Linked DNA regions of Mus musculus. The protein of the gene in region 1 purifies or fractionates together with the protein of each later gene. This does not show direct contact. Links are inferred from orthologs where the notes say so. Each region holds a gene or a part of one and is shown on either strand. Other genes may lie near its edges.

The links. Proteins that work in one complex are often made in the same cells at the same time.
Region 2: the proteins of P4ha2 (region 1) and Col1a1 purify together in Homo sapiens (co-immunoprecipitation; 3 studies listed by BioGRID and IntAct, counting the BioPlex papers as one, with this or other methods). This does not show direct contact. The link is inferred for Mus musculus from reciprocal best matches to the Homo sapiens genes P4HA2 and COL1A1.

What each region holds. Positions count from the first base shown.
Region 1 is NC_000077.6:54,128,365-54,132,014, forward strand, and holds the end of P4ha2 (prolyl 4-hydroxylase subunit alpha-2 isoform 1 precursor), read left to right. Parts: intron 1-683; coding exon 684-752; intron 753-1,101; coding exon 1,102-1,198; intron 1,199-2,825; coding exon 2,826-2,896; 3' UTR 2,897-3,303; downstream 3,304-3,650. UniProt on the Homo sapiens protein: Catalyzes the post-translational formation of 4-hydroxyproline in -Xaa-Pro-Gly- sequences in collagens and other proteins.
Region 2 is NC_000077.6:94,949,574-94,953,223, forward strand, and holds the end of Col1a1 (collagen alpha-1(I) chain preproprotein), read left to right. Parts: intron 1-146; coding exon 147-200; intron 201-523; coding exon 524-631; intron 632-717; coding exon 718-1,000; intron 1,001-1,135; coding exon 1,136-1,326; intron 1,327-1,527; coding exon 1,528-1,770; intron 1,771-1,899; coding exon 1,900-2,046; 3' UTR 2,047-3,469; downstream 3,470-3,650. UniProt on the Homo sapiens protein: Type I collagen is a member of group I collagen (fibrillar forming collagen).

The sequences.
Region 1 (3,650 bases):
GTATGTATGTGTGTATATATATATGTATGTATATATATTGCATGTACCACGTGCATGCATGGTGCCCACAGGCCAGAAGAGGACATCAGATCCCTTGGTATTGGAGTTACGGATGGTTGTGAGCCTCCACAAGTGCTCTTACATTGGGTTATGTGTAATAGCAGCAAACGCTGTTTTTTTTTTTCTTTTCCAACTTTATTAGGTATTTTCTTCATTTATATTTCAAATGCTATCCCGAAAGTCCCCTATACCCTCCTCCCACCCTGCTCCCCTACCCACCCACTCCCACTTCTTGGCCATGGTGTTCCCCTGTACTGGGGCATATAAAGTTTGCAAGGCCAAGGGGCCTCTCTTCCCAGTGATGGCCGACTAGGCCATCTTCTGTTACATATGCAGCAAATGCTCTTAACCACTGAGATGTCTCTCTAGACGAAGATAGTCATTTTTAAAATAGGCTTGGATTGTTCCCATTCAAGGACAGCCTGACTGTGGGGCTTCTGGGGCCTTTAGCTCTTGGACATCCAACCATAGAGACTGTCCTGATGAACCCCACAGATTTTGTGGTGTGTGGGAAGTCTCTCTTGGCTGAGGATAGCCATAGAGCAGAGCCTCCAGGCAGAGCCCCTCAGGGTCGCCTGCCATCCTTGACCAGAGGGACCAAGCTCTTTGCCTTATGTTCCCAGATGAGCGATGTCGAAGCTGGTGGTGCCACCGTCTTTCCTGACTTGGGAGCTGCTATTTGGCCCAAGAAGGTAAGTGTGACTCTTCAGGGTCACACGTTGATGCAGGCCTCAGACCTTGTCCCTGTCCCCCAGTGCTATTGACTGTCAATGTGATGTACCTTAATTCCTTCCCACCTGCACCCTGAACTTCTACCCAGGGAGAAGGGATGGTAAGGAAGACCCTTCAGGGCAGGTAGTTTCTAAACTTCCTTCCATTTGAAGGATAGGTACTTTTTAAGAACTTAGTTTTCGGAGTCCCAGAGCCCCATCTCCCAAACACAGGAAAGGAGGGACATTCTGTCAAAGGGTGAGGGGTTCTTGGAGCATGTCCTTGTGAGTAATCTTTAGGGTGTGCTCTGACAGCTCATCTCTTTCGCAGGGCACAGCTGTATTCTGGTACAACCTTCTTCGCAGTGGGGAAGGTGATTATCGGACGAGACATGCAGCCTGCCCTGTGCTTGTGGGCTGCAAGTGGGGTGAGTGGCTTGAGGGGTAGTGTGGATAGTGCCTCAACCTGGTATTTGATGGTTGGCCTTAGGCGCAGAAGCGGAGACGACAGCTAACTGCGTTCAGTTCTGTTCATCACAAAAGGTTTTCTCTGGCTTGTACCACCCAGCCAGAGCTCCTGCAGTTGTCTGCTGACACTCAGAGATGCTCAGAGAGCTGAGGCAGCCCGGGCTGCATGAGCACCATAGGTCCAGTGTAGTCTCTGGCAAGGGTTTTAGGGGAGCGTAGCTGGGAGGTGTCTGTCCAGGGCAAGCAAGACTTGTGTGGCTATAACCAGCATCTTAGGTAGCAGGGTGGGAGACTGACTGTCCTTGTCACCTGAAGAAGGACAGGTCTGAGATGAGACTGGAGCCAAGAGGTGAGACTGGAGGTTGGGACCAGACCAGAGAAGATGAATATTAGCCTCATCCTTTAAGTTGCTGTGGAGAACTAGAAACGGCCTAGAACGTGACAGGAAGGGACCACATGCGTTTAGAACTCTTGGAGTTTGGGCGATAAATAGTGATTGGCTCACAGAAAAGGTAAAATAAACAAATGAAAATTTGGTCGTTGCCGATTCAGGAGGAGAAAGACCAGTGTAAGTCTAATCTACTAGGTGTCGAAAGCATAGCACAGATAGTCTACATGTGAGCACTGTGAGTTAATAAGAACTAAAGTTTATCATTTCGCTACATATGCTATTAGTCTTAAGTCTTCTAGACAGTTTGTTTAGTTAAGTACAGGTATTAAATTGTATTTTAAAATCTGTCTTTAGTAGTGCATTACTTTTAAAAATGTGTGTGTGTGTGTGTGTGTGTGTGTGTGTGTGTTTGTGTGTGTGTGTGTTTGTGTAAGTGCCATGGCATGTGTGTGAGGGACAGAGGACAATTTGAAACACTGGTTTCCCTCCTTCCATGATGTGGGCTCTGGGGTTTAAGCTCAGATGGAGCTTATAACAGGAGCTATATCATCTGCTCTGCATTACTTTTGTATCCCTTGAGAGAGCCCATGTTTGAGGAACACTCATGGTCCATGCCTGTGACATGGCAGGGACAGTGTTTCAGCTGGGGTGCCCACAGCACTAAGATTCTGTCTTGTGGCTCACAGGGCCTGAGGCTCATGGCCAAACCCTGCCCAGTGCTGACAGGTTCCTGTCCCTCACCTCTCAGTTTCTACTTGTCCCTGTCCCAGCTTCTTGAGGTCCTTCACACTTACCAGAGTGGCTCCTGCCTTTGGAGACTTTCTCAGCTCACTTTCTGCGTTTACTCCACTTGGAGTGGCAGCCGTATGGTATACCCGCCTTCTTTCTGGGATAACTTCTGTTGGCTTCCTGTTCTGTTTCAGTACTGCTCTCATCCCTAACATCATGAGATGCTCTTTGGCTTTGTTCCCATGGTAACTTACATACACCCACCGAATCACTGGTTGGCTTCTGCACCATTATCTGTGTGCTCATGTATTTTCATCAGCACGTGAGCAGCTTGAAGCCTGAGGCCGTGTGGCACTGGAGTGTTACCCACAGAGCACAGGGCAGTGGTCATCATGGAGGAAGCATTCGTTTTGGCTGCTTGCTGAACTGATAGGTGGGATGGTCATGTACTTGCTTTCTGTTCACAGTCTCCAACAAGTGGTTCCATGAGCGAGGACAGGAGTTCTTAAGACCTTGTGGAACAACGGAAGTTGATTGACGTCCTTTTCTCTCCGCTCCTCCCTGGCCCATAGTCCAAATCATCTTCAAGTTCAACATGACAGCTTCCTTTTTATGTCCCAGCTCCTGTCAGGCAGGTCATTGGAGGAGCCAGTGTTTGACTGAATTGAGAGAGTATATCCTGAGCCTAGTCCTGGGTGACCTGGGCCCCAGACTCTGACCAGCTTACACCTGCCCTGGCTCTGGGGGTGTCTTGGCATGGCTGCGGTAGAGCCAGACTATAGCACCCGGCACGGTGCCTTTGTACCTCAGATATTTCAGGTAGAAGATGTCTCAGTGAAACCAAAGTTCTGATGCTGTTTACATGTGTGTTTTTATCACATTTCTATTTGTTGTGGCTTTAACCAAAAAATAAAAATGTTCCTGCCAGAAGCCTTAAATAGCCTTATTTTGGAGTGTTTTGGTTTTGTTGTTATTCTTGTTTGGTATTGTTTGTATTGTTTGGTATTGTTTCCAGGAACTGGGCCTGGCTTGGCTTAAAATGCCTGCCACAGCTAGGCGTGATGGCACATGCCTTTTATCCCAGCACTCGGGAGGCAGAGGCAGGCGGATTTCTGAGTTCAAGGCCAGCCTGGTCTACAGAGTGAGTTCCAGGACAGCCAGGGCTACACAGAGAATCCTGTCTTGAAAAACCAAAAAAAAAAAAGAGTGCCTGTCACACGAACATGGACCTGAATTCTGATATCCAGCAAGTACATAAAACTCAGGGCCTGACAGTGCCTCCCTATAATCTC
Region 2 (3,650 bases), about 41 Mb from region 1:
TAGACATTCTGATTCCTTCCTAGTGAGGGTGAGGGGCAGGACACAGACAGACAGACAGAGGGCTCAAAGAAGGATTGTGGGAGTGGTCTAAAATGAGGGGATATGTTACCCCCATTGCCCCTGAACTGCTTTTCTCTGTTCTTCAGGGTTCTCCTGGTGAACAAGGCCCCTCTGGAGCTTCAGGTCCTGCAGGCCCCCGGGTAAGTTGCATCTTCCATTACTTCTTCCTGGGTTCCTCCCTGTCTTGGTTACTTTCAGATATCCCTCTGTTCTCCAGAGAAGAGTTCAGAGACCAGACAGGGGGTGGGGAGAAAAAGAAGCTTGGTCTTACAGAACCTTTGACCTTCCCACCCGTGCCCCCTTGCAAACCTGGCCATAGGAACTAGTTGAGGGCACCCTCTGAGAGACAGAAGCAGAGACTGGGCGGAGCCAGCAGTGGGGGGAGGGGAAACACTTCTGAGCCGGAGTTTGGGGGCTGCCTTGAGTTTCTAGCCACTTTTTCTAACCATCTCTCTATCCCTAGGGTCCCCCTGGCTCTGCTGGTTCTCCTGGCAAAGACGGACTCAACGGTCTCCCTGGCCCCATTGGTCCCCCTGGTCCTCGAGGTCGCACTGGTGACAGCGGCCCTGCTGTATGTAGCCCCACATCCTCTGCCTCATGACCCTCCCCCAAGAAGACTTGAATACCTGGAAACCTTGATCTCCTTCCTCTACACAGGGTCCCCCCGGCCCTCCTGGACCCCCTGGCCCTCCTGGACCTCCCAGTGGCGGTTATGACTTCAGCTTCCTGCCTCAGCCACCTCAAGAGAAGTCTCAAGATGGTGGCCGCTACTACCGGGCCGATGATGCTAACGTGGTTCGTGACCGTGACCTTGAGGTGGACACCACCCTCAAGAGCCTGAGTCAGCAGATTGAGAACATCCGCAGCCCCGAAGGCAGCCGCAAGAACCCTGCCCGCACATGCCGCGACCTCAAGATGTGCCACTCTGACTGGAAGAGCGGTAAGGATTAACCCCAGCCACCTCCCCCCCCCCCTTTAGCCTACCATGCTGCTTCCCCCATGTTTTCATACATTCCACTTTCCATATGGTGCTGGCTGCCTACTCCTCCTGACTGCTTTGCCTTGCCCACTTCAGGAGAGTACTGGATCGACCCTAACCAAGGCTGCAACCTGGACGCCATCAAGGTCTACTGCAACATGGAGACAGGTCAGACCTGTGTGTTCCCTACTCAGCCGTCTGTGCCTCAGAAGAACTGGTACATCAGCCCGAACCCCAAGGAAAAGAAGCACGTCTGGTTTGGAGAGAGCATGACCGATGGATTCCCGGTACGTGAGCTGAACCCCAGAGCAACTCTACAGGAGATGGGTTAGCCTCTTATCCAGAAAGCACAGGAAGTCCTGGAGTGGATTTAATCTGCTTAGTGGAAGGGCAGATACAGATCTAGGATACAGGAGTTCTGGGTAGGAAAGCCAGGGACGAGAAGGTCCACGTGATCGCTCATTCTCTCCTCTCTCTGGCCCGTGCAGTTCGAGTACGGAAGCGAGGGCTCCGACCCCGCCGATGTCGCTATCCAGCTGACCTTCCTGCGCCTAATGTCCACCGAGGCCTCCCAGAACATCACCTATCACTGCAAGAACAGCGTAGCCTACATGGACCAGCAGACTGGCAACCTCAAGAAGGCCCTGCTCCTCCAGGGATCCAACGAGATCGAGCTCAGAGGCGAAGGCAACAGTCGCTTCACCTACAGCACCCTTGTGGACGGCTGCACGGTGAGTCCCCCAGACTGGGTCCAGCCTGTCTCTTTGGGCATCTGGTTTAGCCTTCTGGCAGAACAGAGTGAGCCTCACTTCATTCCTACCTTGGTAATGACCCTCTCCCGCTGTCTTCATTCACACCAGAGTCACACCGGAACTTGGGGCAAGACAGTCATCGAATACAAAACCACCAAGACCTCCCGCCTGCCCATCATCGATGTGGCTCCCTTGGACATTGGTGCCCCAGACCAGGAATTCGGACTAGACATTGGCCCTGCCTGCTTCGTGTAAACTCCCTCCACCCCAATCTGGTTCCCTCCCACCCAGCCCACTTTTCCCCAACCCTGGAAACAGACGAACAACCCAAACTCAATTTCCCCCAAAAGCCAAAAATATGGGAGATAATTTCACATGGACTTTGGAAAACATTTTTTTTCCTTTGCATTCACCTTTCAAACTTAGTTTTTACCTTTGACCAACTGAACGTGACCAAAAACCAAAAGTGCATTCAACCTTACCAAAAAAGAAAAAAAAAAAAAGAATAAATAAATAACTTTTTAAAAAAGGAAGCTTGGTCCTCTTGCTTGAAGACCTATGTGGGTATAAGTCCCTTCCTGCCCACTTGGCTTATGATACCCTAATGCTGCCTTTTCTGCTCCTTTCTCCACCCCCTCTTGGGGCCTCTCCTCCATTGCTCCCCAAATTTAAGTCTCCCCCAAGACACAGGAAATAATGCATTGTCTGCCCAGCAAACAAAGGCAATGCTGAAATGTCCCACCAGCCCCTCAACCCCGTCTACTTCCCTACCCAGCACCCTCAAATCCTGCTGGGACATGGGGTTCTTGGACTGTTGAAGGAACCTAACCATCTGGCATCTCCATGGCCTCTGCAACAAACCCCCCACTTTTTTCTCTCCCCCCCCCCCCAGGGAGGGCCTGTGCTTTGGGCAGCCACCTGCCCCTCTCAGGGGTTTGGAGCCAGGCAGGGTCACAGCAGACTGGAAACATCGGACATGCATGTGCAGGCTGGGTGGGAGAGACCGTTCTATTCCTCAGTGCAATTGTGTTGCTGAAAGACTACCTCGTTCTTGTCTTTGTGTGTCACCGGGGCAACTGTGTGGGGGCGGGGATGGGGGCAGGGTGGCAGCACGCCCAGTTTGGTATCAAAGGTGCTACATCTCTGTGAAGGGGTGGGGTGGGAAGGAATTTCTGGTGCTATAGAAGCTGAGATGCTCCCTAGACCAGCAAATGTTTCTTTTGTTCAAAGTATTTTTTATTCTTTTTTTTTTTTTTTTTAATGGATAGGGACTTGTGTGAATTGTTGGGGTTTTTTTTTTTTTTTTTTTTGGTTTTGTTTTTTTTTGTTTTGTTTTGTTTTTTTTCCTGAAGGTGCTATTTAACAAGGGAGAAGAGAGTGCGGGGACTTCACCCTGCCCACTCTCTACTCTCTCTCCACTCTTCTAGTTCCTGGGCCTATCTGATCTCTCTCTTTCTTCTGAAACCCTCCCCTCTTGCTGCTGCTCCCTCCCCTCTGCCTCTCTCTTGGTCTGTCCTGCATCAGGGTTTCAGAGCACCACTTTCCAAAGCACAAAACAGTTTTTACCCCTGGGCTGGGAGGAAACAAGAGACTCTGTACCTATTTTGTATGTGTATAATAATTTGAGATGTTTTTAATTATTTTGATTGCTGGAATAAAGCATGTGGAAATGACCCAATGCATGTGCAGTGGCCTCTGAATTTCCTTCCTGGGACGTGGGGAGGTGGGGATCCAGGGACAGGGCTCTGGGATGGGGGACTTGCCTTCTACCCCTGCCCTTTCTCTCTCCCTCACTTCTCATCCAGATATTGCCACCTTCCTCTCTTGCCTGTCTTATGCCTTAGACCTTTTTTCTTGCC